7 separate regions of the Mus musculus genome follow, and regions 1, 2, 3, 4, 6 and 7 are each reported to be linked to region 5. The links are microRNA targets in miRTarBase. Many come from high-throughput screens and were not tested one by one. Region 5 holds a microRNA gene; each other region holds the end of a gene's coding sequence.
The links. The annotated mature microRNA mmu-miR-3089-5p reads UGAGUUCAGGGACAGCGUGUCU and lies in region 5 at 2,048-2,069, opposite strand. An mRNA with a match to its seed (bases 2 to 7 or 8) in the 3' UTR can be bound and repressed. Matches are read on the target gene's strand: a 7mer-m8 pairs with bases 2 to 8, a 7mer-A1 pairs with bases 2 to 7 and ends in A, and an 8mer does both.

Region 1 (4,182 bases), not on the chromosome of region 5:
AGTGGTGCATGTCTTTAATCCCAGCTTTCAGGGATATCTCTCAAAGTTCTAGGCCAGCCAGAGCTGCAGAGTCTCAAAAGAAAGAAAAAAAAAAAAAAGGCCCATCAGATCAGTAATGGTAGTGGTGGTGGCACAAGCCTTTAGTCCCAGGATTCAGGAGGCAGAGGCAAGTGGATCTCTGCATTCAAGGCTAGCCTGGTCTACAGAGTGAGTTCCATGACAACCCAGGACTAAACCCTGTCTTGACACCCTCCGCACCCCCAAAAAAGTTATTTTCAGAGCTAAAAGCTATACATTTCTCATCATGTTCACTTTGTATTTTACATCACAGGGTTAGACAGACTGGTATGTCTTGTCACGGGAGCACCCAGCATCAGAGATGTCATAGCCTTCCCTAAATCCTACCGAGGACAGGACCTTATGAGCAATGCTCCAGACTCCGTGTCTCCAGAAGAGCTGAAGCCTTACCATATCCACGTCTTGTGGCCAGCAGACTCAGAAGAGGAGAGTGCATCCGCCACACCTTCCAAACACTTGAGCTCTTAACTTTTGTCTTCTCTGCTTCACCAAACTTAAATTAAGATCCAGACCTGCCACAGACTTTAGAACCAAATGTCTGTGTAGAAGCAATCATTACCGAGTAAGAAAGAGAAGCTACACAATTGTGACTTGGTCATGTGTACCATTAGGACTGTCTGTGGAAGTTTTTTAATTGGAAAATTGTCAAATGAAACAAACAAACAAAAAAATCTCTTTATTGAGTATTTAGAGTCTTCCTGTTTTCCAAGCATGTTTCTATACCCAGATAAGTTATTTAGAATAAGGATAATACAACATGGTTGCCTCTGTACACTGGCCAGTTAATGCAGCAAGGTTTCAGTTCATCTAGCCTCATTAGAACCATAAATTAAACTTTGTGGTAATCTTTCAGCCATCAATATAATGTTCTAAGTAGTATAGTAGGATCAAAAAAAAAAATTACAAGTAACAGAATTCTATTGTGTTGTACCTTAAGCAAGCTACAAATGTCTCTTAGCTGCCCCAGCTGCTTATATAATGTGAATGACACTTGTCCTGGCTGTCTCACAGATCTCTTGTTGCCAGAATCATGAGGTTACATTTGTGGCAGATATGTGATTTGAAATACTGTAAAACAGGACTGAAATGCAGCTGTCCTAACCACTGTTCTATTGCTGTGAGGAGACACCACAACCAAAGCAACTCTTTATAAAGCATTTAGTTGGTGCTGGTTTATAGTTTTAGCTGTAAGCATGGTGGCAAACACAGACATGATATAGAAGTAGCTGAGAGTTCTACATCCTGACCTGCTGTTGCTGGAAGACTGGGCCTGGCACAGAATTATTTGCTTTCTTATGGCTTTTCAAGACAGTTTTCCTGGCATGGGCTCTTTTTTATGGTTTTTTTTTGTTTGCCTGTTTTCGAGACAGGGTTTTTCTGTGTAGCCCTGACTGTCCTGGAACTCACTCTGTAGACCAGACTGGCCTTGAACTCAAATCCGCCTGCCTCTGCCTCCTAAGTGCTGGGATTAGCATGTGCCACCACTGCCTGTGGTTCTTGTTTATGGTTTTTCAAGACAGGATTACTCTCTGTAGCCCTGAAACTTGCTTACTTAAAGGCTTTCAAAAATCAGTTTCTCTGTGTAGCCCTGCATGTCCTGAACTCTTTCCTGTAGACCAAGCTGGCCTCAAACTTCTGGGGATCTGCTGCTTCTGCCTCCCTGGTGCTGGGACTAAAGGCATGGGTTCTTGACAGTTTTAAAGCCTCCAGTCACAAACCTAATCCTTTCTAAAAAATGTCACTCTAGTAGTAAACATTCAAATGAGTTTATCAGCACCCCCTCCCACCCCTAACATCTATTCCTTCTCTGAAAGGGGAAACCACTCCCCTTAACACCCTAAGGCTTCTCTGCCCCCTATCCCCTACACACAAACTCACTGCAGGACTAGGCGATTCCTCGGAGGATGGCAAAGCAGCTGAGACCTGGAAGGACAGTTGTACACAGCTCAGTGGTTCAATCACCAGTATCATACACAATCTAAAGGCCTAATGAGGCAGTGCTAAGGGTGCTGAAGTGGAAGGAGGCAGATGACTCCCTACTTGATCAGAGGCTGGTAGATCTGAGCTAAGGGCGTGACTGTAGAGATCCAGTGAATGAAACCCTGACCTTGTGTTCTGGAAGAAGGAACCATGGGTGTCTTAAAACAGACCAGTAACTCCCAGCTGGTCCTAGTAAGCACAGACCTTTGATCCTAGGCAGATCCAAGTTTGAGACCAGCCTGATCTACATGGAAATCCCATCAAGGCAACCTGCCTCCAAGAGACCAGCCAGGCAAGATGACTGGATAGCTGGATTCCACATTGTGAAAGGAAGACTTGTGTAGGTCATCCTGACCTCTTCACATGCATTACCATACAAATGGACCACTAACAGTAAAGGTATGTGACTAGCATGTGAAAAATTTAAATCCTCACAACCCAAGAATGTGATGGAATTTAAATCCATTTCAGTAAGACTATGTGTAGAATATAAATCACCAAATGAGATGTTTAGCTATGTGTTCCAGGGTAACTGTTGAGCATTGAAACACTGCCCCCATTCCCAGGGACTAAAGCTTGTAGAGGTACAGCTCCAAATACCTACACATTTTGCCTGGAACCAGTGTTCTAAGGACCCCTGACCAGTTACCTATACTATCTACAGCCAAAGGACTAAACAAAATAGCCTCAACTTTTCCTTTGGGGCCACCACACCCAGCACGAATCCCAAACTGTACTTGTTAGATTAAGGATTGTAGTTTCCGTGGTCTCAAGAACTGAGCCCAACAGACCAGAGTGAACAGTATCAAACCTAAGAGCCAATTAGCCTCAGTGTTCCTCCTAATTTAGGAATGCTGAGTTAGGCCTGGTGGTATATATAACTGCAAAAGTCCTAGGCATGGGGACAACACTTTAACAGGACTGCAAGGTCTAGGCTTTTACCTTCCAGGTTTATACTTCAAATTTTCCCTCACACCTGTGCCCCTACAGGCCATCTCCAGACCTTTAAAGGGCTGGTATACCCACTCAGACTGCATAACTGATTAGACATTCAGGATGTAAGACTCAGCAGACACTGTCACCTGCCAAAAGTGAAAATACCACCTCCACCAGTCAGTCCAGTTCTGGTTAACGCTGTTCCTATTAATTTAAAATGTCAAACAGAATAATGGCTTGAGGCTGGTGAGATGGCTCAGTGTGTAAGAGCACACTTCTCTTTTGGTTCATCTTAGATTGTGTTGAGAAAGGAAAGAGAAAAAAAAACTATTTCCAGGCAAACTGATTTGTGACTGTACTCCCCTTTGCATACTCCATGAAATATTTAGTTTTATAAGATATAAGAAAAGTGTTCTAGGGCTGGAGAGATGTACTAACTGCTCTTCCGAAGGTCCAGAGTTCAAATCCCAGCAACCACATGGTGGCTCACAACCATTTGTAACAAGATCTGATGCCCTCTTCTGGAGTGTCTGAAGACAGCTACAGTGTACTTACATATAATAAATAAAAAAATCTTAAAAAAAAATAATGGCTTGTGCTTATAAGCACAAAAAGACAAACTATACTGACACCAATACCATCCAGTCACTGGGCAGCTAATAGATTTAAAAATGTCTAATGTGAACTCCCCACAATGTGCTCATCAGAACAAAATGCACACTTCACAGTTCATGTTATAATACACTTTAATGGTAAAATTTTAACACAATATATCTGACACCATCTTCTATTTGAGCCTCCATCCAGGCACCTGCAACAACCAACAGAAGGTAGCTGTTAAACACTTTTCTACAATTTTAACTTAAATGGTAACTGTTAAAACACAGAACATCAGATCTTTTACTATCATCAAGTAATCAGTGAGAGAGTTCAAGTTGTGTGAGATCATCATGTATTCTGGAGTAGGTTCCCGGTTAAGCATTTGCAGTTCTCACCTCAGAAACAAAGGTGCAGTCACTGCATGTCCACTTGTCACAGGAGCCCTAAGAAAACAAAGACTGACTTACTTCTCTGGCTTAGAGTAGTTAAATTTTACATGTTAGTATAGTAACCTCAGAAATAAAATGGAACGGTTTAAAGGTGATATCACTTTGTATCATTTGGCAGAATCATCACATCACTGGTTAC
Region 2 (4,215 bases), not on the chromosome of region 5:
CTTAAGAATAATTGGTTACTGTTGGTGACTGCCTTGACATCCTAACAGGCCTGACACATCCTGAGACTGGCCTGTTGCTCATTCACCTGGGTGTTTTCAAGGTCATAGAGGCTTGTTTGCCAGAACACAAGGAACAGGGATAGATGTGAGAAACTGCCTTGTTTCTGACGGAAGCATTGACCTTAGCAACACATTTTTATTAGGAACGTTCCATATCGCATCCGAGTACGCTTGTCCAGAAAACGTAATGAGGATGAGGATTCCCCAAACAAGCTCTACACGCTGGTAACTTACGTGCCTGTTACCACATTCAAAAGTAAGTATCCCAGCGTTCCGCAGGAGTTATTGTATGTGAGATGATGTGTGTCTTAACTATGTTCAGTGAAGAGGTAAGCAGCAGGTTAAATTATCAGATGTTCCTTAAAAACTAACTGGCTGGGGGAAGATAGTACAGAGGTTGCTGGGAAGGGCGGCACAGGCCATGGGTTGTGCAGTGGCCTCCAGCTGGGGCAGGATGCGTGGGTGCTGACTGGCTGTTACTCTCCTTCCAGATCTACAGACGGTCAACGTGGATGAGAACTAACCTGCTCGTGTCAAATAAAGTTGCAGAACTGCCTTCAGGGTTTGGTTTTCCTTTCTGTTGTCTGCCTCATGGGTGGAATTTTTGGGTCTACAGGGTGTTGGAAATTAATCTGAGAATCTCTGTTCTGGGTACATGGGAAATTAGAAATACGTGAAACATTCTTTTCACAGAAGTCACTTTATTAGGATTGTGGATTTGGGTTGGTTTTGAAACAGGGTTTCTTGTGGCACTGCTTGTTCTATAGAATAGGGTGGCCTTGAACTCAGAAATCCACCTGCCTTTTCCTCCCTAGTATTGGCAATTAAATGCCCAGCTTGTTTGTAAGCTCTCATTTTCAGTTCCAGGTTTATGTGTGAGCCTAAGATTAGGTAAAGATTGAGGTTATAACTTAAACGTACTGAATTAACTTATGTTGTGTGGGTCCCAGGAATTGGACCTGGGACATCAACTCTGCCTTTCCAGCCATCTTTGCCAACCAGTAGCTCATCTCTGGGATGTGTCTGCCCTCAAAATGACATTTTAAAAAAGTCAGTACAAAAGAACGATTTTTATTAAAAACCTTGAGGACAAACATTAAAGGCATGGTTTGAACATGTTTTTGTAAGGGCATATAAAGTGAATACGAGATATATTAAATGGTTTCAATTACCAGCATTGAAACAAAATTAGTGCAAAAAAAAGCCAAATACAGTTGTACAGGCAATGGTTCTGGGATCTCTTGTTTCTGACCAGTGGAAACATGAGCCTGGGGTTGGTGTCTCTTAGTTACGGTGGCATCTTTTTCTTCATCAAAGGGCAGACTCACTATCAGGATCACAACAGAAACACTGGTCTCAGCAAAGTTGATAGTCACAGTGTATGTAAACAGGGCGTCCCACCACTCACCTGTCCTCTTAATAAATAGAAATGCGTCAGACCTGCAGCTGTGACTGAGGTGGTGGAGCTCCCTGGTTGTAGGCTGACAGCTCTTGCTTTGGTGTGGTCGGCTCCAGTGTGTTCTCCAGCAGCTCAGGGCCTACAGGTCATTGAGCTTCAGTTCTGCCTGTGGTGGGTGGCTCATTTCCAAAACTTTGAGACTGTACTGATTGAGCTTGGCGTTTTCAAGTTTGGATTTAATGTTGAGTGGCTTTTCAAAAAAATTCACCAGTGACTGCTCAGTGAGAAGGGATGCCAAAATATGTTCAAGGGACACAGTCCAGTCCCCTTCAGTCTCGGGGAAGGCCTGGGGACTCTTTCCAGCCTCAGCAAAAACTGAGTCCTGTTCGGGAGGAGCCGAGGCCTGCGGCTCCTCACATTCTTGGGAGCAGCTTCCTGAACTGCTACCTCGCTGGCCCACTTCTCCAATCTGCAGTAGCAGAGTGGTTACTGTGGCAATGGCTTGATACAGGTCATTTTCCTCTGGATCTTCATGGAACATACTGTACAGAGTTTTACAGAACTGGATAAATTCTCTCTAGAATTAAAAGAAGGCCACAGACAACAAACAGCATGAGGGTGGAGATATGTTACACTATCAGAAAAGTGTATGCTGCTTAATCTTTGTGCCATGGGAAACAGTTCTGAGACTGTTATAATCCATGATCTTCCTGCCTCTCCAGTAAACACTGGGTGATAGTTGTGTCCCACAAGCAGCATATTTAGAAAGGGTTTTTTGTTTGTTTGGTTTTGGTTTTTCGAAACGGTTTTTCTGTGTAGCCCTGGCTGTACTGGAACTCACTTTGTAGACCAGGCTGGCCTTGAACTCAGAAATCTGCCTGCCTCTGCCTCCCAAGTGCTGGGATTAAAGGCTTGCGCCACCTTCTAGCCCAAGCATTTTGATCAAGAGGGTTTCCGTGCTAACTTTGGGTGGTAAATGTCAGCTCATGAGATGCAGGCCTTGAGGATAGTAAAAACTGGGCATGTAGCTTAGGAGTGCTTCCCAGTGCTTAGGAGACCCGTAGGTAGAGTGGAGAGAAAAAAGTGCCACACTGTTCAGTGGTTTAGGTGAAACGCCCACAACTTTTATGGCAGCAAAAGAATAAGCTAATACTTGACAGGAACTTTAAAAATTGTACAGATAGTTCTGGGTGACATAACTATCAACACATGTGAAAGCCTGGGAAGACCAGGAACTATACCTGGCTTCATGTTCAGACTGAGTTGAAGGTCGAAGGACACCTGTTGGCCTTCATGCCTTGACCACACATAGTTTTTAAGTCACTGAAGTCACACAGGACCACTCGCAATTTCTCATGCATTAGCAAGAAGAGCCTTTTCACACGAAACCTGTTTCCCTGTGGCACTTGTGTAGCACTAACGAGGTCAGAGGTGTGGGAGGCTGCCTTGTTTGCAGCCTCCTGTTACAAAGAGGTGACTGGAACACAGCAGTGTTGTGGGAAGTCAAGATGCCATACCTGACTCATTTTGGGCAACTCTTTCTCCATTTTATCCTTTTCTTTGGCTAAATCCTTAATCATCTGTTTCAGCTGTTTCTGATAGTCAATTGTGTCACCTTGGCAAAGGGAAACAACAGTTTAAATTCTATGAAAATTAAAATTGGGATAGTAAGAGAACAGGATGCCACACTAAGCAAATTGCATATAAAACCAAGAGGTTACTTTTTTTTACAACTGACTATCTGTCAGACTTCTAGGGCCTTCCTGGTAAAAGAGGACCCTAGAAAAGGATGAAAGCTGCAGAGAACTGGGAAGCCGCACTGGTAAGGGAGAGGGATAGGTTGCTAAGAGCCAGTAGTGGAAACATGCTCACCATTGGGTTTGCCCAGGACCAGGGGTCTTGAAGTTGACAACAGAGGATTCTTCAATGGTGACTGGCTATCTCTGTCATTTTCAGTGAGTGCTTAAAAGGAAAATGCTTAAATTGGACACAATTGTAAAGTTTACACGTGTAAAGCTAAATGCTTTATGGACCCACACATATCTCAAATTCATACACAGACACAGCTGATAGCTGACCTGAAAAAAAAATACTTGCAGTTCACAGTGAGCACAGTGTGTTTAGATGTGTAAATTGGTAGGATTGAAACTCTTCACAAAGCCCTGGCTGTCCTAGAATTCCACCAGATTCTGGCATGCCTTGCTCTTTTCCTCTCAGAAATAGCCTCCCTGGCTCTGTCTGTGTTCTTGCTCCTTTTCTACCATATCTCATCCCTGCGTCCATCTCATTTCCACATCTACCCCTCACTATATACAGTATTGTCATTTCTGTCCTGCGATCATCTGTGATGCTAGGCTTTATCTGATCAGGTAGGACTGTACACTCATTAGGAGAGAAGGGCAGGTATCCTGCCCCTTCCACAGGTCTGTGGGCAGTTACGGTTGCTAGGTGCAGAAGAAACATTTTCTTAATGGTCAGGTGTCTTGCTTCTGTAGAGCTGTGGTCGCTTGGTCACCAGAAGAAAAGGCAACGGGTTGAGGGTGATGGGAATATTATCACATATATGGTACACATGTATGATACACATTTGTTTAATGTGTTAAAACTTAAAATATCTTAATAGATCCTAAGTGCTTCACGCTTTCTGGCAAAAGATGATGAGAGATTTAATTAAGCACACAGACAAGCTGGTTAATTCACTCTGGCCTGGGAAAAGCCAGTAACAGAAAAAGGGGTCAGCAGTGTGGTTGAAGGAG
Region 3 (4,215 bases), not on the chromosome of region 5:
CAGCGCATCATTAGGACGGGCCGGACGGGTCACTGGTTAAACCACGGGAAGGAACACTGCTTGGTGAGGAACAGGAGGAAGAGGGGGAGCTGCTTAGGAGACTGAAGGCTGTGGTTGTGTAAACAGTGTTCTCTGTGATGAGCAGGTTGGTGTTAAGGGAAATCCTCAAGGATTCAACCAGGGCCTGGACTGCGATGTGATTGTAGCTGAGGTATGTGTCCCCTGTGCATCTAAAGCTTTCAGACTTTCACTCAATACTCCTGTCAGTCTCCATTTTTTTTTTTTTTTTTTCCTCATTTGGGTAACACAGACCAGACTAGAATTGCAATCTTGAGTAACTTTTTAAAAATTTATTTTTATTTCATGTGTATCAGTATTTTGCCTGCATGTATGTCTTTTTGAGGGTGTCATGAGCTGTAGGTCTTGGGAATTGAAGCCAGGTCCTCTGGAAAAACAACCAGTGCTCATAACTGTGAGCCATTTCTCTATCTATTAAGCAATCTTGAATAACTTAAAGTAGCTTGAGTTTTTATTTTCTAGGTTCGTTCCACCAGTCATAAACCAGATGAAATATATGGCATGATTGAGAGACTGTCCCCTGGCACCCGCAAGATTGAGTTATTTGGACGACCACACAATGTGCAGCCCAACTGGTAACATTAAGAGAACAGGCTCTTGCCTCCCTACCTCCTGCCCGTCCCTCCCCCAAAAAACCCTTTATGGACAAAGACAGATGTCACTGAGTTGTATACATTCTGGTAGTCTAGATGGCTTAAGCTTTACCAGAATCTACAACATTCATTAGAACCCAAAGGGCTGTTCTTAAAGCTCTAACTGCCCAAGGATCGTCAGCTATTCTGTGGGCTATATTAAATCTGCCCCCTAGTGGCTACTAAGTATTTATTCAATCTGTCAGTTTTAATGTTTGATGCCAATGGTGAGCATTTTAATTATCCAAGGACTATTCACTAGCAGTGACTGAATGAAGTAGGCCTGGCTACCATCAATTACTAATCCTTAGATAGACAGATCCGGCTGGATCTTGGGGCATGAGACTGAAGCAGGAGGATTGCAAGCTTAAGGCCTGCCAATGCTTATTTAGAGGTCTCAAAAGGGGAGGGGGGCTGGTAGTGTTAAGAGTTTAAGAGTGTATATGTAAGGTGCCTAGGTTCAACTCTTAGGACCACCAAAGAAATTAAAATCCAATCAGTTTTTGTATTGACACTGCCATATTATTTGCTCTGATCTTTTTAAAAGTTGATGTAGGCCGGGCGTGGTGGCGCATGCCTTTAATCCCAGCACTCAGGAGGCATAGGCAGGTGGATTTCTGAAGCCAGCCTGGTCTACAAAGTGAGTTCCAGGTCAGCCGGGGCTATACAAAGAAACCCTGTCTCAAAAACCAAACCAAACCAAACCAAAAAAATTGACGTGGACTGGGCATAGTAGAGCACACCTTTAGCCTCAGCACTTGGGAGGCAGAGGCAAGTAGATCTCTGAGTTCAAGGTTAGCCTGGTCTACATGGAGAGTTAGTTCCAGGACAGCCTGAGATAGGTATCACCAGAAAGTAGAACATTTTAAGTATTAAGCCCTTACAGGATTTTTGGTTTGCCTCTTCTTTCCCCCTTGTTTTAGGATTACTCTTGGAAACCAACTGGATGGGATACACCTACTAGACCCAGATGTGGTTGCCAGGTTTAAGCAAAGGTATCCGGACGGCATCATCTCTAAACCTAAGAATTTATAGACGCACTTCCTTACAAAGCTAAGCGTTCAGAGCCATGGGCTACAGGCCACACCTTAAGAGGACTGTTTACGCAATAGTGTCCCCTACCCTGTATATAAATAAATAAAAGTTTGTATTATAATTGGAATTTCTGAAGTGAAATTATGGCTTTCCACTTAGTGTGTGTCCTTGTGCTACTCTTATTTAGCGTGATTCATTATAAGTAAAAGAAGAATGTTAGCTACCTAGCGTGTTAGAAAAGACTACACAGGTTCACAGTGCTTAGCAATTAATATGCTATAAACAGGATTAATTTGAATTTTACCATGCATATGGTACTCTAAACTTTTGCTTATTCTATGTACGTTTGCTGGTTTATTAGTCTGTAGCTAATTTCTAAGAAAAACAAGGTACCTTCAATTAAAATTAGAGCTTAGAATATAAAAAATTGGCCTATGCATTATGTAAATGAATGCACATTTAAAAGATGTTTCATCAAACACAGATTCTTTACTTTGTAAAACCTCTTATTAGGGGTATAGAGTTCTGCTTCTTACATGCAAAACTGGTAACCAAGTCAGGTAAAGAAATACTTGTACAGAAAAAGATCGTTTTGGATGATGTCGTTTCCCCTCTAGCCCAATGTGCTAAGACTGAGACAAACAGAATTTGTGTGTTTTTGTCAGGAGCAGGGAGGGGGACCTTAAGATAGGATCTCACTAGGTAATCCTGGCTAACTTCAAGCTCAGAGATCCAACCTGCCTCTTGCCTCCTAAGTTGTAGGATTAAAGGGGAGTGCCACCACACCCGGTCTATTTTTTGAGACAAAGTCTGATTTAAGTTCAGATCAAAAATCTTCCTGTCTACTTCCAAAGTATTAGGATTAAAGGCACGGGCCACCATGTTCTGTAAAACCTTTACCTCATGCATCTTAGACTGTTCTCAAACTCACTAGTGGGCCAAGGATGACCTTGAACTCCTGATCTTCCAGCCTGGGGTCTGAACTCAGAGCTTTATAGTGCTAAGCCATAACCCCAGGCCTTCAAACCTTCCTCCTAATAGCACTGTGTATATCAATAATAGTTCCCTTTTAAAGGGCTATCACACATTTTATTTTAAATCAGTATTTTCATTCCTCCTTCACTTGGGATTTAAACCCAGTGCACTTTACCACTGAGCTGAAACCCTAAGTCTCTCTTCTCCCAGAGCTTTTTCTGCCGAGAACAAAGCAAAGCACTCGCCCAATGACATTCTAGGCAAGTTGTCTGACCGTTTTACTGGTATGTTTCTTCTAATGACCCCTATGATTTGCTCCCATCACTCTTCCCTGTGCTTGCTAGTAAGCTGGTAATTTTGCTTACAGTTGAGAGTAAAAAGCAATTCTAAATTACAGTGAATTTGCTGGCCCTGCTACATAGTCTGGCCTCTGCTGAAGAAAGAAAAGGGAGATGGAGGCATGAAGGACTATGGGTAAAGGTCAGGCACTACAGAAGCCCAGTTTGTGTTTAAAAAACAGGCTTTTGGCCGGGCGGTGGTGGCGCACGCCTTTAATCCCAGCACTTGGGAGGCAGAGCAGGTGGATTTCTGAGTTCGAGGCCAGCCTGGTCTACAAAATGAGTTCCAGGACAGCCAGGGCTACATAGAGAAACCCTGTCTGGAAAACCAACAAAACAAAACAAAAAAACAGGCTTTTGGACTCGTGTTCAGCAGATGAATCTTCAAGGCTTGGAGAAGACGAAGGCTACTTCACAAACACCACAGAGTTTGGATTTCTAGAGGCCACCCAGGCCAAGAATACATCCCTAAGAGAGAAAGATACATACAAACTTATTATAGCAAAACCATACCCAAATATTTCCCTACATCTCCAAAGTATAACATCATCAAGTAGCCTAAAAGTCAGATGTGGTAGACTGTGCCAATCCACCTCGTAGAGGACACATATGCCCTTTCACGGATATAGGTAATTCCCTGGGATATTTTGGTAGAAGGGCAAAGTTTTCACTTACTACTCACCTTCTCTACACTTAGCATTTACTCTGCTACTTTCCCCCTTACCTATCCCTCACCAAATTCTTTGACACTGGTAATTGAAATCAGGACCTTACCCATGCCAGGCAAGCAGTTGTCAGTTGAGCTACATCCTCATCTCTAAGCAATTGAACATCTAGGAGCATCTCTAATCAGATACCTACCCACCCACACATGTCAAGTGGCTCTGCCTAATAAGGTCATGCTCAGTCCACACGGGTACGGGTACCATGCTCCCCAACAGTTTCACTTCACTACCTCTTGATTTATAAGGACTGTTAAACTCACCTGCAGTGCTTCACCACACACTCATTGCTGCAGTACTCGTTGTCCCAGTCCTTACTGACAACAGGAGGGTTCTCACAACCAGACCTCACACATCGAGGCTGAGGTGACAGTGCCACAGGGGAGCCACTCACCAATTCAACATCCATCTGAGAAGGAGACTCCACCTTAAAAC
Region 4 (4,215 bases), not on the chromosome of region 5:
CCGACACTTCCGTGTATACCTACGATTGCCAATCTCTCCAGCAATACAGGGGGGAGGAACACATACCAGATGCACTCCCATCAGGTCATATGTAAACGCTGATCCACACAGAGTCAGTAGCCACTCCTTCACACCTACACAGAATAACTGCCGTGGATAACAGTAACAGAAGAAGGGGTCTTTGAAGCCTTCCAGCCTTATGGCTCCATACCTGCTGCTGGTCACTGTTTTCTGTGGATGAGCTTCTGAGTTGAAATTTCCTACCTCCAGCAAAAACTCAGATGTATCAGGCATGGCCTGGAACCCTAACAATTTGTACCGCTTATCCAACTACATATCCAACCCTTTCATCAGACAGAACAAGACACTGAAACTCAAGAAATCGAGGTGGTGTTCATTCAGCTACAGAGCAAGTGATGGAGAAAGAACCCAGGATTTTTGTCTCTTAGTCCTTTGCAATAAGGTTACACTAGGTTGTCTCCCAAAGTGGTCCCCAGACATGCCTGTCACCCATGCCTAGGCTAAGAAGCACCAACGGATGCTCTGGTATAGAAACTGAGCAGTAAGCTATATGAGAGCAGGCCCCAGGTCTCATTAGCCCCGTGCCGTATGCTAGCCACCTAGCAAATGACCCATAAATACTTGTTGGCAGTTACTCACCAGGCCAAGTACGGGGTTTTGCACTCCCAACTCAGTGCAGGAAGATGCAAACAGATGCAAGCTTATCTACCTGCTTACTAAATTGCAGTTGGGAGGGCTGCTGCTCCTAGATTTATGAAAATGCCACATTCAGTCAACCAGAGAATGGACACGCTCCAGAAGTCAGAGGTAAGAGGAGCCCGGCCATTTACCTAAGCACTTGGCAAACATAAAATAAAAACCCCAGGCTACTCTGAGGATAAAATGCATAGCAACCACCCACAGCTGCACTACACAGATATCTCGCTCTGTTTCTCAATGCATTTCCCCAACTTAGAAAATACTTTGTGAACTGAGCTGGACTCTCTGTGAAGCTGGCCCTGAGGAGCTCGACACTTTGTAGCTTTTGGATTAAAAATGTGCCTGGGCCCCTTTCCTCTCCCTTGTTCATCCTCCTGACTCTCCATACATATATACAGATTTGCCTCACAGTAGAGAAATAGAATTCTTATATTTCCTATTTGTAGCTATGGCTCCTAAACCATGTTGTGAGTAAAACAATCCTACTACACTACCATCTTGATAAGGAGAAGGACACTCAAAATATTTTAAAAGGCAATGGGAAAACCGTACAGAAAACCTAAGATTACAAAATTAAAGTAATCCACAGGCACGAGGGCTATCTGCACCACACAGTCCAACCCTATTGCCCCAGGGGCAAACCAGGCTCTGCTGGGACAAGGAATGAGGAGGGGCTGTCCAGAGGGACAAGAAGGCATGGGAGAGAGCTCCCGCTGGCCTGTGCTTCTCAGGCCTCCCCAGCCACTGCAAGTGGGTGTTCCGCTGTGTGCCCCTACCCAGCCACTACTGCTAAAGAACACAGTGCAATTTCGAGACGATCTTGCTTAGGGATTGCCTGTGGACATGGTCCTCCTCACTCACAAAGTGCCACCCCAACTTCAGAACCACTGCAAACAAGCTTTGAGTCCTCTGCTCTGAAAGCCAAGTAGCTAGTCTCTTTGCACATGGATTTTGCTTCCATTTCTGAAATTAAAAAAAAAAAAAGCTTTCCCTCAGCCCCCTCCCCTTCACTGTTAAGCCAGGCTTGCCTATAAACAAAGACCTCACCATTCCTTAGTTAAACCTTTCAAAATCACACTACCACACTAACAGACTCATTAAATACATACTTATTACAGGGTGACTGAATTCTGGTCAGTGTGCAAGCTCAGACTCACCTGTGCTCACCGTTCTCACCTGTCCCAGGATGATGAAGACAAGGCTAGCCTATAGCTGGAGGACTTTACTGCTATCTACTCATGGCCTCTCCACCCAGTCTAGGCACTCAGCTATATAAAAGTCTGTGCACAGTATACACACTTTTCCATTGCAAAAGTACAAAGATTACAAGATGGACGAGTTTTGTGTGTTGTGATTTATATAAAGCTAATACACGCCAGCAAAATGGAATAATAAAACCAAGGAGTAAAGTGCCTTTAAAAATAACAGCAATATTTATAGACTCTTTTGACATTAAATCTTTTATAAAGCCATATGTTACACATATAACACCTTCTCTTTCTGTAAGGTTGACATTATTCAGAGAGACAGCCATACCACAAAACAACACTCAGACAACAAGCACTCTACAGCATCCACCACGGTCTATACACACACAAGCAGTCCTAAGATGACATCCATTTTCTCCTTTGAAACCATCACTGACATTGCAGTAACATGCTGACGTGGTTGTCATTGTTTCAAGTGACACCAAACTGACACCAGAGAGTACAAGGGTCTTCAGTCAAACAAAAATATTAGTCTTATTTAAATTAAGAGAAATTCACTTAAACTAAAAATAAAATAATTTATTTACGATGAGATTTTTAAACACCTAACACATTTTTTCAGGGAAATGTTGGTGCTAACTCTGAGCCAGCTTCACTTTCTCTGGACTGTGGGTCTGTATAAGAATATATAATTTGGGGCTAGAGAGATAGCTCAGCAGTTAAGAGCACTGACTGCCCTTCCAAAGGTCCTGAGTTCAATTCCCAGCAACCACATGGTGGCTCACAACCATCTGTAATAAGATCTGATGCCCTCTTCTGGTGTGTCTGAAGACAGCTACAGTGTACTCATATAAATAAAATAAATCTTTTAAAAAAAGAATATATAATTTACTTATCGCTCAGTCATTTCAGAAACCACTGCATGTTGTCTCATACTTAGGAGCCCCTACAGAAGACCTGTTCAGTAACAGTTGTTACTATGACTACGATACTTGTTTTGTACCCTAATTCTTCAAGAACAAATCAAAAATGGACATTTTATGACAGAGTCACTCATTTATCTCAAAACTAGAACAAATAAAAAATAACACCATGAAAGGAATTTCAGCATGTTCTGACCACTGCTGCAGGAACACAGAAACTCAGCAAAGTACAGACATGCAGGAAATCAGCACTATATAGGAAAATTAACAATTAAACTCAGCACACCTTCAACAATTGGAGTAAAGGCAGACTCTTAATAAAATCATATTATGTCTTTCTCAAGGCAATCATTAGCTACAAAAGGAAAATGATTTCATATCCCTGGTCCATAAGAAGAAATATTTATTTACATCCTCAATGGACTAAAAGAGGTTTTAGACGTCACAATTAAAATTGTATGCTTCCAAAAATATCGTATCATCAATGCAGTTAACTTAAAGTGTCAGATATTAATAAATCCATTTAGACTTCTTAAAAAATCAACACAAACATACTTCCTAGAGTGCAAAATGCTTCTTATTAAATACTTCAGGAACACAAAAGCAATTTGTTTGGAAACACAGGAATCCTTTGCTGAAGGGCCATCATCAAAAGAGACACCCATTGCCGGCAATGGGTGCCGGACAGAACCACAAGCTGGAGGAAGACACAGCACTAAGGTTTGTGCTGTCTCTGCCCACTGCGGATAACCTGGTTATTTGTACAGGCTCATGGTTGGACTCTGGTACATGCACATGTATGCATCGCAAAGAAGTCTGCGCGCACAGCCTTGAATCCTTCTGGAATCCAAAGAGTGCAGGTCCTCCAGAGACATCTTCAAGTACTCTCCCACTTCTGGGCAGGGCGTCACTTGTGGAATGTTGAAGCCATTCTGACCACCTAGAGAAAGGGGCAGTGAAATCTATTTAGGGAAGTGAATGTCTAAGTCCTTCTGGCATCCTGTCCTACCTGAACAATTCTACTATCCTAGAATTTAATGAGTACTGACTCTGAGAATTGGAAGAAAACCTTTGTTTGACTTCCAGTTTCTAGAATTATAGTCTCCTTGGCTTCTGAGAGGGTTCCACAGGCAAAGGTGAATAAAACTGGTGAAAGAACACATATTTAAGATAGGCCTGATTTGCAGGCTGCTACCCACTGTGTGCACAGTCTTGATTCCTCATACCTGCAAGTCCCTCCCATACACTAACAGCCTGACATTCTTTTCCACAAAAATTTTGCTCAGTTTTTGAAACACCTAGTAATGCCCATTGCTGTTTTCCTATGTTTTAAGGACATACTTGCACACCTCTACATGCGCTGT
Region 5 (4,215 bases):
CTTAAAAGCCAGCTGCAGTGGTATCTATTACCCCTGGGGCTGGGGAGGCAGACAAGCAGATCCCGGGAGCTTGCTGGCCAGCCTAGCTGAATTAGTGAGCTCTGGGTTGAATGAGAGGCCCTTTCTCAAACACACGCTGAGCGTGATAGAGGAAGACTCTGACCTCTGTCTCTGGCTTCCACAGGCTTGCATCTGTGCACACGGACCCTCCTACATGCAAACCCCCACACGAACAGGTACGTACCACCCCCTCACTCACAAAAGACAAAATAAAAATAAAAACAAAAAAAGGTCTTAATCAGAGGCTCGTTTGGATTTTTCCAGCTCCCCTTGTCTCCCAGGGCCCTCTCCTAGAGGGGGTTAAGCACATTAAGATGCAAGCAGAGTCGGCTCTGCTCTGCGCTCAGAGCGGGCCAGGGCTGAGCAGATTCTGGTTGTTATTGTTGCTGTCTGTGGCACCCTGAGTGCCTGCCCCAACACCCTCTAGGAGACTCTGGGGAATTTTCCAGAGCTTCAGGGCTGAGTTGAGCACAGATCTCAGAACTCCTAATGTTTGTTTCTTGTTCTCCTTCCCCAGCCTCCTGAAAACACGGATCCCCATCAGCCTAAAGTGGTCTGGGAAATGCTTGGTCTTCCTTACACTGATTCCTGTGTCTTTTTGTTGGGCTTTGGGTTGGAAAACTCTAGAAGAACCTAGATCAAATTTTAGAATTGAACCCTGAGGGTCCAGGCTTAGCTCACCCAGCAAGGCAGCTTCCCTGGCCTATGCAGCACAGCCACCTGCCTTACGCTGAGCTCTGGCTCCTTCAGAGGCCTCTGGCATTACCAGTGCTTCTTGGACAGTGTCTTGTTTCTGAACTTTAGGCCACAAAATAGAACAGACTGGGGTGCCTTTGGACCCAAGGGTAGGAGGACAGAGCTGTACTCCCAACTGAATTAGGAGGCAGAAAGACTGGGGGGTGGGGGGTGGGCATGGCATCCACAGAGAGGCAGGGGTGTGGGAACCCTCTGAGGGTGCCGGGCAGGGGCTGTGGGCCAGGCCTGGGAGCCTCGGGGAGGCCGGCAGGCACAGAGAAGGAGGCCTCCTACCAGACACTGTCTAGACGCAGCAATTATTGTCAGCTCGGAACACCCAGGCTCTGCCTGTGCAGCTGAAAAGGAGCTTAACAAAGAGAGAGGGAGGAAGAAGAAAGCGGAGCAGAGCCGCTCTGAGCCTGCCTGCCCGCCTGCAGCCCGCGGCTCTTTCTCTGCTTGGGCTCCCCCCCTCTTTGTGTTCCACAGGCACTGTTGAGGGGACAGCTCCTCACAGCTCAGAGATGCCTGATGGGGACAGAGCAGGAGGTGCAGCTCTGGGGCCCTGGCCAACTCTTCTGAGCTAGGCTTCTCAGAGTGGATGCTGGGAAGTCTGGGTCTTGTCCACTTTAGAGGGCTCTAGCCTACACCCTTGTCATACTGATGGGGAGCCTTGGGTCACGGAATGACAGCCTGACACCTACCCTCCTCTGCTTCCAAGGAGCCAGGCACTTTGTAGATAGGGTTAGGGGTGGGGGCTCAGAGAACACAGTCAGCCGTGGGGTGGCTTCAGGTCTGTCCTTTAGATCTGGGCCTTATTCTTCTCACCCTTGGGAGGAGGTGAGAGGGCAGGGCCAGCATAGCTTTGATGGGAAGCCCACCCTCCCCCGCCAGGACAGGGTTTCTCTGTGCAGCCCTGGCTGTCTTGGAACTAACTCTGTAAACCAGGCTGACCTTGAACTCATAGAGACCCTCCTGCCTCTGCCTCTTGAGTGCTGGGATTAAAGGTGTGTGCCATCACTGCCTGGCTGGAAGACTGTTATTAGCCGTGGCAGGCCCTTCAGAGCTGGAAGATGAGCACTTTGGATTCCATATGTGTCCTAGAACCTTCCCCCTCCTCTCAGTTGCCATTCCCGAGACCCCCTTGGCGTTGGCAGCAGTGGTGCTCAGAGTGTAGGGGTGGAGCCTCAAGGCCCTGGGTTTCTGCAGCTAAAAACACAGCTCAGGATCAGCAGATGCTCAGACAGAGAAACTGAGACACGCTGTCCCTGAACTCAGTTGCAAGCCACCAGCTGTTCCCCTTATCTCCCTGTTCCAGGGCATCTGGGCAGGGGCTCTGCTCTCAGCCCAGTCTGTAGCTCTAACTCTACCCACTAGCTTAGGCTCATGGAAAGGACCTACTGTGTGCTCAACTCTGCTCTCCTCTTGCCAGCAGTTGGGGTTGGGGGCCGGGTGGGGAGTGACTTGGTGGGTGGGCACCTTCTACATCCTGTGGAGGTAATGAGCAGTCCCAACCTACTGCTGGGGAAAGGCCTGAAGCTGGTCAGGGCTCCAGAGTGACTGGGTAGGGGTAGCTGGGTCCCTCTCAATCCTTCTCAATTAGAGACAAGGCCCTCAGAGCAAGAAACATGCATACCTGCCCTTACATCACACCCGAGGCCTCTTGATCTGTCCCCAGGACCTTCCCAGGCTCCAGGCATCGGCCTGGCCTGCCCGAGGCTCAGCCCTGCTGGCCACACACTGTCTTGTCTGCTGTGTCTCCCAGTACTCAATTATAGGAACAGAACCCTCCTCTCTCCCTCTGCACCATTACCATAACAAACCTGATTCCCCTGCCTATACTGCAGACCCACCGGGATCAGCCGGTCCACCAGGATTCTAGCATATTCTGCAATGCCACTGCAGCTCCCTCAGCCCTCCCCACTGGGTCTTCCTTTCACCTGGCGCTCTGAGCCATCTCTACCAGACCCTCAAATATGCGAAGCTGCCAGCCTGCTCCTGTGAGTTGTCCCCTGCCTCCTGAACAGCACCAGCCCTCCCTGTCACATAGCCAGCCCAGACAGCTTTCTGATTCCTCCCGCATCTGCACTAGGCTGGTCTTCCACCATGGCACAAACCAAGCTTGAGTTCAGCCCCCAGTTCCTAGCCTCTGGGAGCTTTGGAGACCTGTTCTCTCTGCTCCATAAAAGCCTGCCAAACCTTCCAGAGGCAGGAATTGATAGACCACTTGGATCTGAGGCCTGAAGACTGCCAGTCCTGTCTTCCCTGGCTTCGCATTAGTTGAGTTAGTCATCCCAGTAGATCCTCATGCACCCTTCTCTAGGACACTTCTGACCCCTGCTGAGATCACACACACAGCCAGTCTGCCTAAGTCCCTGATATTTCAGCCTTCTTGGGGGCACCCAATGCATTTTTTATGGCTCGCCACGCCTGCGAGCCCTGTGGGCCAGCTGTCTCTGGCTTGTCTCACTCTGTGAACCCAGCTCCTGCTTCTGAGGTGCCTTCCCAGCCTGACACCACCTAGAGGTAGGAGAAGTGACTTGGGCCCACACCCCCCCCCCCCCCCCCCCCGTAAGTGAATCCCTCTCGGCCCAAGCACCAAGGCAACCTCTTTGTCCTCTTTCCCAGGGCCTCCATGCAGACTCCCAGGAGTCACCGTGAAGGCCAGAACAAGGCTGTGCCATTGTGCTGCCCACTGACCTGAGAGCACTCCCAGGAGCTGGAACTGCCTTGTGCCCAGTTCCTCCCTCAAGCCCCCATGCAACTAGGCCAGTCCACAAGGACAGGAGGATGGTAGGTCCAGCAGGGGTGGGTACCCCACATCTATTCCTCCTCCAGAATTGGCCCAGAGCGTTCCCCAACCCTTGCTGTGGGATATCTAAGCCTCATCTTCCTTCCTCCCTGCCCTGCCTGTCCTTTCCCTCCAAATATCTATCCCTCTCCTCTCCTCTCCTCTCCTCTCCTCTCCTCTCCTCTCCTCTCCTCTCCTCTCCTCTCCTCTCCTCTCCTCTCCTCTCCTCTCCTCTCTCTCCTCTCCTCTCCTTGTTCTCGCCTCTCCTCTCCTCTTTTTCTCTCCTCTCCTCTCTTTTCCTCGTCTTCTCTGAGTCCTCCCTGGGCCTCCTTCCTTTCTTCTTCCTGGGTTAAAAATAATCAACTTTCTGGGAAGCGGCAGTTCCCGCTGAGCCGCCCTCCCCACACACGGGAGCCCCTGAGAATAGCTTTCTGCGGCTCTCCACTGAACCCCTCCCTCCCTCCTCCCTCCTTCCCTCCGCCCCCTCCCCGCCGGCTGACTAATAAGCCGGGCAGCCGGCTCTGCCAGCTCGCTGCAAGGGCGTTAACTGCTTCGTGCCCGGGTGGCGTTCAGCATATAGCGACAACAGGAGGGTTGTAGGGCACCAGGCCACACGGAGCCGGAGCTCTGGG
Region 6 (4,215 bases), not on the chromosome of region 5:
TTCTATCCAGAGGACACTGGCCCTTTCCTGGGCCTTCTAGATGGTTGGCAACCTCCTGTATGGAGTCCAGCTGGGTTGGTGGAGTATGGAGAGCCATTTGGGAGACAGTGAAAGGAATCAAGGATGCAGGCTTCAGGGACAGGTGGTCCTGCCATGCCTCTGTGCCCTTTAAGAAGGAGCCTCCTCAGCAAGACACGGAGGGCCATGGCCACCCTGCGGGGGTGGGGGTGGGGGTCGGGGGATGTGTGTTAGTACAACTCAGATGAAAGTCACAACCTGACTCGGAGAGCAAGACAGGAGTGGGTCCAACGTGTACAGGCATCTCTAGACAAGGCAGCTCTGCTCCCAGGATCCCTCTGCTTTGATGCTGCAGATTGCAGATGTGAAAGTGGGATGGGGTGAGTTGGGCCGGGGAGGGCGGGTGGAGGGAGAACCCACACTCCAGGTTCATCTTTCTCCGTGCTTGCCAAATTTAGCTTTGCCTATTTTTAAATTGCAAATGGTGAACTCCCCGGCACCTCGGCTAGGATCAAAGTCAGTCTTGCTGAATGTTCTTTGGAAGAGGCATTTGAAGAAGCAGGGAAACATGGGACACGCATGCCTGTCCTCCTGCCCAGGAAGCCAGCTAGGGGTAGATACAGGGGCACAATGCACCAACCCCTGCAGAAAGAAACCAGACCCTAGGGATGGCACCAGGAAGCAACCACAATGGGACCACTAGAAAGCCATGACTGTTCCCCTGGACCTGAGTCAGCATAGAGATTCAGATCTGTCTATCCTGGTATCCGTCTATCCTGGCAGCACCATCCAGGAGACAGTCGGAAGAGCTCTTTCCCTACCCTCACTGTCCCAACAGGCTCACTGTGTACATGAGAAAGCAAAAGCTTTCTCATGTAAGAAGCCAATCCTATACCACCAGGAGGTAGGCCCAGAGTCTAATCAGGGCTCTATGGTCCTGTTGTCCCAGGGACACTGGCAGGAGAGGGCTGGGTACAGAGGTAGACAGAGAACCCCTCTATAGATAGCTACCTGCTAGCCCTTCTGGGAAAGCCTAGTGAGCAGAGCCGATCACTGCAGGCGGTAGAAGATATCCTGGGGACGGTAGAAACCCTGGATGGCAGCCGCAGGAGTGGGAGGGACAGCCAGCGGGAGAGGCTGGAGAAGGCTGGCCCCCCTGCTTCTGTATTCTCACTCATTCAGGCCTGCACTCGGGGAGACACTCATGAAGATGCTACGAGGGGCCCTGAGTTCTTTGAGGATCACATCAGTCCTCTGGTTCACGGTGAGAGCTACTGATCATAGCTCTCCATCTTCCTGGGCAAGGAGTCCTAGTCTAGTATGAGGCAGACGGCAGCCACTCTGAAGCTCACCATGAGGTTTTTCAAGTGGGAAGGAAGGAGGCAGCTCCTGCCAGCAGCCTCTACCGAGATTAAATCTGGCCCGTGCTAAGACCCTGAAAGCAAGAGTCAACAGTAGGAGAGGGTCCCACCAGCCCGTGGCCCACCACAGCAAAGCCTAGAGCGAATCTGGCCAGGTACCCAGCCTGAACAGGCTCAGTATCACAAGGTAGCCACACAGATCCAAGTAACCCGAAGACCCAATGAACATGGGCCCCGTGCTACTCTCCAGGGGGGTTGTGGGGGTTAGGGGGACTGAGACACTGAGTAAACCACAAAGCTTGCCCAAAGTCATGCAATACTTCAGGCAGACTTCAGATCTGTGCCTGACTGGTTCTAAAGCCTGGGTCCCAGCAGAAGTCATTCGTTGGACAGTTATGTTCCAGGGACATGGCGGGACACAAAGTCCTGCCCAGGGATCTTGCCGAGTGTCACACAGGACAGCACAGGGTGGGACATGCTGCTTGAGGGAGAAGGAGTTACACCCCTGTGGCTCCCTGAATGAGCATCTCCCTGTATGCTCGTGGGGAAGAGACAGTAGCTTGTCCTCAGGGTGACAAGCACATTGGCCCCGTGGCACCTGAGCACAGAGGAGGCAGCCATCAGCCGGGGGAGGAGGGGACTGGCCTATTGTGGCAGCAAGGACACAGGAGCCTTGGGGCAAGGCCCAACCCAAGGCCCTGACCTGCTTCCCCAGATGGTGGTACCCTTCAATGCCTTGGACACTAAAATAAATATCCTAACACAGCATCCCTGGGCCACTTCTGGCCCTAAGACTCAGTATGACCAACACTCTTCCAGATCCCAACACACACGCAGGCTGCTTCCCTGACCTCACAGATGAAGAGCTGGGGCAGGGAGGGAAGGGGCAGGTCATGCCCGGGACCAGATCGCAGAATGGGTTAGGGGTGAAGCCATACACCACTCTGCCACATCCCAGACCTCCTCCCCTCCTTCCTCCTCCCCCCCCCTCCCCTCCCTACCTCTTTTAAGTACCACGATACCCACCCCAACCTGTGAGTGAGTCCCTGGGCCGTCGGGCATCCTAGTCACAAGTCTGATAGTGTTTGAGACTCATAGGCCTGCTCCAGGCCCCTAGGGAGCTAGGCTTCCTGTCTTCGTCCCTGTTCTACTGCTGTGAAGAAACACCATGACCACGGCAAGTCTTATTTTAAAAAGCATTTAATTGAAGCGGGTTTACAGTTTCAGAGGTTCATCATTCAGATTATCATCATGGTGGGAGGAAGCATGGCAGAGTGCGGGCATGGCGCTGGAGCAGTAGCTAAGAGTTCTACATCCTCATCTGAAGGTGGAGAGAGATCCACTGGACCTGGTGTGAGCTTCTGAAACCTCAAAGCCCACCCCCAGTGACACACTTCCTCCCACAAGGCCACGCCTCCTAATCCTCGTCATCCTTTCCAACAGTTCCACTCCCTACATGCCACACTTCCTTCTATGTGCTTCTGAGTCCCTGCTTCTCCTCGCACTCCTTCAGGACAGATGCATAGCTTTGCCCACCACAGACCACCCACCTGGCAGTGGGCAGGCAGCAAGTTAGAGGACCAGAGGTGGGTAGGAAGAAACACAGTTGTTGGTGTCTTATAGTGGGGTGGTGGTGGGGGGCGCTGAGGTGCACTGAGCTCCTGGGCAGTCACAAGCCCCAGAGCCTCACTGTCCGAAGGACCAGCAGGTGACAGTCCCATCTCAAGCTCCCCTATCTGCAGTAAGAAGGCAGGAAGACACTGCTAATATGTGTTCATTGCCAAAATCACATTAAGAAAAACCACACCAGGCGTGGTGGCACACACCTTTCATCTCAGCACTCAGGAGGCAGAGGCAGGTGGGTCCCTGAGTTCAAGGCCAGCCTGAGTTCCAGGACCACCAGGGCTACACAGAGAAACCCTGTCTTGAAAAACCAGAAACAAAACAAACAAACAAGTAAAAGACCAATCAACCAACCAAACCATACAGAGCACACGCTTACTGATTGCGTGTCACCCACCAGTCACTCGGCAAACACCTTTACTAACACACGCTTGCGCCGAGACGGCTTCTCACCCCCATGCTATAGCCGAGTCACTGAAGCCCAGCAGCTCTCGGGAGCAGCCTAACCTCCGGCCGCCTACCCAGGGGCAGGGTCTCAGTTGCCAGTTAGTGCCAGATCTTGATGTCTCCTCCCCAGGAGCAGGTCCCGAGGACAGAAGGCAGCACAGGATGGTAGGTGGTGCCAAGGCAGGCCTGCGTGTGCCCTTGTAGTGTGCACGCTCGGCTGGCCGTGCGGAAACTGAACATCAAAACCCGGCCATCAGCGCTGCCTGTCACCAGCAGGTCACCACATGGGGAACACTCACAGCCCACCGCGTAGCCTTCCACCTGTGGAGAGAGACAGCAGGCTACCTGTGAGGGATCATGATTCACCCCACGCTGCAAAGGATGAGCTGAGGCTAGGAAGCTGCTAAGCCCAGGGCTGGCTTTATCTTTAGTGACCCTGAGGTGAGAAGCTATGCTCCTGCTGTGTGCCTAACCGTGGAGGTGTGACCTGGTGTCCCAAGGCCACCAGCCCCAGCAGTCCTGTGACACATGGGCTGCAGGTCTCCAGTACAGTTATGAATGCCCAGCACCAAGTGCACACTTCTTAAAACACAGTATGTAGCTTGACTGTGCAGTGTGATCTTCACAGATGGCAGCCGCTAGCCACAGTGTCCTGGGAATGGGACCCAGGTGAGGCAGTTTCTGCAGAGCTGGGGTCTGGTGCCACAAAGGCAGTGACTCCCTAGCCTCTTCCAGCTCAGCAAAGCAGGCCTTATGCAGAAAAGGA
Region 7 (4,200 bases), not on the chromosome of region 5:
GGGGCTGCGCTCAGATTGTCCAGCTTAGCAGCAAGGGGCATTACCAGTGTGCTGCCGCATCAGGCAATGCCAGTATCATTTCCTGAGCATTTCTTGTATAATACTGAACGTTTGCTTATTTCAGCTGTTTCTCTAGAAAACATTCTGTTCTAAAATTAGTGGAATGGAGTTTATGAACATAAATTTTTTTGTGTTTTTCATTTTTAGGGAGGCAGCAAGAGAATGTCGTAGAAAGAAGAAAGAATATGTGAAATGTTTAGAGAACAGAGTGGCAGTGCTTGAAAACCAAAACAAAACATTGATTGAGGAGCTAAAAGCACTTAAGGACCTTTACTGCCACAAATCAGATTAATTTGGGATTTAAGTTCTCTCCTGTTACGGTGGAGAATGGACTGGCTTGGCCACAACCAGAAAGACAAGTAAACATTTATTTTCTAAACATTTCTTTTTTTCTATGCGCAAAACTGCCTGAAAGCAACTACAGAATTTCATTCATTTCTGCTTTTGCATTAAACTGTGAATGTTCCAAAAACTACTTCCACTTCTGCCCTCAAGAAATGTGCAGCGCCAGGAATCATGAAGAGACTTCTGCCCTCCGTCTCCACCACCCTCAAGAAGTAATCATTTGCTTATTTGTAAATTGTTGGGGGAAATGAGGAAAATGAAATCTTGGCTTTCTTATTTTTGTTTTAGGTTTGTTTTGTTTGTTTTCTTATTAATGACTTCAAGGTTTGTTGAGCTCCATGATTGCCTTAGGGACAGTTACCCAGCCTGCTGAGCTGACGTAATGTGTGGGCCACACAGGAAAGTAAGGAAGGTGCAATGAAGAAGTGTTGACTGCCAAATTAATGTTTTTACACTTTCATTGTGAATTATGTCGAACTATTAAAAACATCCTTTAAATAAGGATATTAGTGTGGTGTTGGGAGTAAACTTTATATGTATGTTCCTTTCTTCAGCACTGACAAGTTGTCCTTGGTGCTGAGAAGCACGGTATTGGCTACAGTTCCTCTGTAGGGCAGTTGTTGCTTCTTCATTCAGTTCTGTGTGTTCAGCAGTTTGAATACATTAACAGAAGTAACCAACTGAATGGAAAGCATGGTTTTGAATTTTGAGTTAAGTTAAAATCATACTATAAAGCTTATTCTGGTGAGTACTAAGTCTTAATGAGTAGGTGCTGGCCAGGAAGCTAACTCCTTGAGTTATACAATAAGGTGTTTAATAAATAAAGACTTTTGTCCTTGCTTTCCGAATCCTCATACTGTCACTCATTTACCTAGTCCACTGCTGCATTTACACTGTGCAGCCAACAGGAGCGTTTTCAAGATGTCCAGCCAAAGTGATGGAAAGTACTAAATAGACAACCTTTTCTATAGTCATATTTTTATCAGAGAATCTCTTGGGATTTTTTTTTTTAAATCAAAGAAGTTACAAGGATGTGATTCTAAAACATTGTGTTAAATGCACACAAGAAAAGTAATTTCCTTCAGACATTGGAGTGTGTGCTATGGTACAATATTTGGCAAACACTTTTTTTTTTCTCCTAAAAAAGGTGGTACTGCTTTAACTATCCAAAAGCTGTTCTGTTTCTGAAGATGTTTCTACTTACATCCTTACCTATAGTCTACATTTATGTGTAACATTGTTTCTGATAAGACTTAGTAATAACTCATTTTTTTTTTATTAAACCTAATAAAATCTAAGAGTTACCTCTTTAAAAGACAAATATGAGGACAGTGGAGGCTGGCATGTTAGGTTACTTCACGTTTGAGGAAGAACTCAGACTCAGAAGAGTGTCTTATATTTGCTTTGGGATATTAAGAAAGTTAATATTAATATCAGTATACGTATGAGCGGGAACTGTTTGGCCCATTTCTAAGCTAAGACTAGGTTGCTATCTGTAAATGTTCTACGTTGTTTATAACAAACCATTGTCTTTTTTCAAGGATGAACAGTTTGTGAAGGACATGATTCTAGGAGTTGAGTGATGTAATAATCCTTCTGTCTGGACAGTTCACCAGATTCTCCAGAAGGCTTTCAAACGGCTAAAGTTTGATCTTTGTCCTGCTGAGCTTGCTGGGAAGGAGATAGCATAAAAGCTGTCTGTGCTAGCAAGTAGATGTATCATTTGCTAAACGTGGTGAAACAAAAAGGAAGCAGAATCACAAATCTGTCAACAAACTGGAATTACTTCACATTAAGTCAGAATGTCAGATTGAACATTTTAAATGTCACAAGTGGAAAATTTGCCTAGCGTGCAGAAGTTGTAATCTCTAAGTGTCTATCTTCAAAAGTCGAGGTTTTCTACATAATGAGGAAACAGGTGGTCTCCTTAACCCTTTAGAGACCAAGGCAGTCTCAGCCATACTTCCTAGTTGGATGGATATTAATTTACAGAGGCCTGGGTCTTTATGCTTGGAGCATGACTGTACTAGTTTGACACCAGTTACTTGATAATGTGAGAAATATATGGTGTTGTGAAACCTGACTTTGAAATTTCAGTTCATACAGAAAGAAATCAAAGCCTCTTTAATGCAAGCTGGATTTTTTTTTTAACATGAGAATGAGAAAAACAAAAACAAAAACTTGTTTTTGAGCTATGTGGAGAATCTTTATTAAGAAAATGACATAATTTTTTAAAAACTCTTATATCCAAAATTGTATGTGGCCACATTATCGGTAATGTTTTCTCTTCATGTTGGCCAAAAGGGAATGGAACTGTCATAGGAATCTGTACATATGCTACTGATTTGCCTAGAGAATAGAAGTTTGGTACTGCTCACTTTGCATATATATAGTGGCACTTTTATCTATAGGGCAGATTAACTCTAATAAAAATGAAATGGGGATAGGTTTATTTTTGATATATTACTCTTCTGAGTTTTCAAGCTTTGATAGTGTTTAACTGAAAAATGGTTTAGAAAGGGCTAGATCCAATATGTTCATATTTAAAAAATTGATATGAGATACAATTTAAGTTCTTTATCAAAAGCAAGTACCATATTAGCAACCATCATATTGTCCTAGGTGCTGTGCTTGTTTAGATGGTATAGTGTGGGTGGGGACGTGGCATTTTGTAATATATGTGTACATATATACATACATACAGTATATCATCTAAATGCTCTGAGAGCTGGTATGTCAGGAATGCTGAGTATTATAGCGTATTGAGGTCCGGTGAGATTCCACTTTGCTGTGCTTTCTCCTGCATCTCTTCTGGTGTTTCAGTGACTGTTTTACTCCAGCACTCACAACTGGGTTTTCTCTTTTCTTCCAGTTTTTTATTAGGTTTTTGTTTTGTTTGGCTTGATGCTTTTGAGTATGTTACCAGTCACTTAAAAACTCCTAAACCCCAAGCTCTTTTCCCCCTGCTTTGTTTCTGGCAGCTATAAAATTGGTAAGAACATTTTGAAAAAAGGTTTTAAGAGAATTGTTTCAAGAATCATTTTGGGCAAAGACTTTTCATGTTTCATTTGAACAGGGATTTTTGTCAAGATGTGTTTTGATGGTAGGCCAGCAAGCAGTGCTACTGTCTAAAGCACAAACCAGTCAGGCAGGCTGTCCAGCCAGAAGCCCTCTTGGCTGAAGCCGGTCTCTGCCTCTCAGGACTCCTCCCTACTATTTTCGACCATTTAGGGTGACATGGAATCATACAAATATTGGGGCTTAGAAACAAACATTTATATAACCCGGAATGCTTTTACGTACTTGAAGTGACTTCAGTCAAAATGTTGCCTTTCCTGTTTAGGAAGCTTTGGTTCTCTGTTGACTCGTCAGCTAGTAACACAAATCGGTTTCTCTACCAATAGCTGCTTCATTTTCAGTTCCTTCCAGAGGCTTTTGTTCTGCCTTTGTAACACTGAAACTCTGGATTGGCACAGCATCCCGGGGCCCAGTACACAGGCTGTATGTTGACTTGAGGTTGTATTTACAGTAGTTCTTTGTAAAGGTTTGCTGTAACTTGCACTTTTTTTTAAGGACCCAGTTTGGGTATCAGCAACTTGGGAAATTCCTTATCAATGAGTTCTCAGCTGACCCTTTTGTCTTCCTCCTTCAAATCATGACTCCTTAATGGAAGCGTTTCATTGATCACAGTATCATAGCTAGCCTTAAGCATGTTATAAAAGCTAAATATCTGGGAATTAGGTTTGACTAATAGTGAAGGAAAAATAAGTACTTATAATTTTAAATTTCATCCTC

Region 1: miRTarBase lists Dars2 as a target of mmu-miR-3089-5p. Seed matches in the 3' UTR shown: 7mer-A1 at 1,478-1,484 and 8mer at 1,506-1,513.
Region 2: the mRNA of Rpl31 is a reported target of mmu-miR-3089-5p. Seed matches in the 3' UTR shown: 8mer at 841-848.
Region 3: the mRNA of Tox4 is a reported target of mmu-miR-3089-5p. Seed matches in the 3' UTR shown: 7mer-A1 at 3,339-3,345, 7mer-A1 at 3,310-3,316, 8mer at 1,495-1,502 and 7mer-A1 at 1,352-1,358.
Region 4: the mRNA of Cyld is a reported target of mmu-miR-3089-5p. Seed matches in the 3' UTR shown: 8mer at 2,679-2,686.
Region 6: miRTarBase lists Wdr25 as a target of mmu-miR-3089-5p. Seed matches in the 3' UTR shown: 7mer-A1 at 3,264-3,270 and 8mer at 3,247-3,254.
Region 7: miRTarBase lists Creb1 as a target of mmu-miR-3089-5p. Seed matches in the 3' UTR shown: 7mer-A1 at 1,776-1,782.

What each region holds. Positions count from the first base shown.
Region 1 is chr1:161,038,080-161,042,261 of GRCm38, reverse strand. It overlaps Dars2 (aspartyl-tRNA synthetase 2 (mitochondrial)), which reads left to right. Exons shown (of 17, transcript NM_172644.4): 17 at 332-1,661. The coding sequence ends at 546. Gas5 (growth arrest specific 5) reads right to left here. Exons shown (of 11, transcript NR_166052.1): 10 at 3,990-4,037; 11 at 3,723-3,805. It overlaps LOC115487640 (a small nucleolar RNA gene), which reads right to left and starts at 3,954; the gene lies at 3,879-3,954. Snord47 (small nucleolar RNA, C/D box 47) reads right to left here and starts at 4,170; the gene lies at 4,106-4,170.
Region 2 is chr1:39,370,751-39,374,965 of GRCm38, forward strand. It overlaps Rpl31 (ribosomal protein L31), which reads left to right. Exons shown (of 4, transcript NM_001252218.1): 3 at 204-316; 4 at 552-1,161. The coding sequence ends at 583. It overlaps Tbc1d8 (TBC1 domain family, member 8), which reads right to left. Exons shown (of 20, transcript NM_018775.4): 18 at 3,332-3,421; 19 at 2,977-3,074; 20 at 745-2,036. The coding sequence ends at 1,599. Among named protein-coding and RNA genes, the nearest start is that of Rpl31, 5.0 kb to the left of the region's middle.
Region 3 is chr14:52,292,512-52,296,726 of GRCm38, reverse strand. Tox4 (TOX high mobility group box family member 4) reads right to left here. Exons shown (of 10, transcript NM_023434.3): 9 at 4,044-4,207; 10 at 1,218-3,526. The coding sequence ends at 3,466. Mettl3 (methyltransferase like 3) reads left to right here. Exons shown (of 11, transcript NM_019721.2): 8 at 1-63; 9 at 146-211; 10 at 541-653; 11 at 1,634-1,886. The coding sequence ends at 1,745. Among named protein-coding and RNA genes, the nearest start is that of Mettl3, 11 kb to the left of the region's middle.
Region 4 is chr8:88,746,405-88,750,619 of GRCm38, reverse strand. Cyld (CYLD lysine 63 deubiquitinase) reads right to left here. Exons shown (of 17, transcript NM_173369.3): 17 at 1-3,791. The coding sequence ends at 3,607. Among named protein-coding and RNA genes, the nearest start is that of Cyld, 51 kb to the right of the region's middle.
Region 5 is chr2:30,719,076-30,723,290 of GRCm38, reverse strand. It overlaps Mir3089 (microRNA 3089), which reads right to left and starts at 2,081; the gene lies at 1,998-2,081. It overlaps Gm14488 (a long non-coding RNA gene), which reads left to right and starts at 2,104. Exons shown (of 4, transcript XR_866106.3): 1 at 2,104-3,318; 2 at 3,421-3,585. Gm39782 (a long non-coding RNA gene) reads left to right here. Exons shown (of 3, transcript XR_866107.2): 2 at 185-236; 3 at 578-1,728.
Region 6 is chr12:109,026,801-109,031,015 of GRCm38, reverse strand. Wdr25 (WD repeat domain 25) reads right to left here. Exons shown (of 7, transcript NM_177602.3): 7 at 2,564-3,770. The coding sequence ends at 3,549. Among named protein-coding and RNA genes, the nearest start is that of Gm52002, 17 kb to the left of the region's middle.
Region 7 is chr1:64,597,027-64,601,226 of GRCm38, forward strand. It overlaps Creb1 (cAMP responsive element binding protein 1), which reads left to right. Exons shown (of 9, transcript NM_009952.2): 9 at 208-4,200. The coding sequence ends at 352. Among named protein-coding and RNA genes, the nearest start is that of Mettl21a, 19 kb to the right of the region's middle.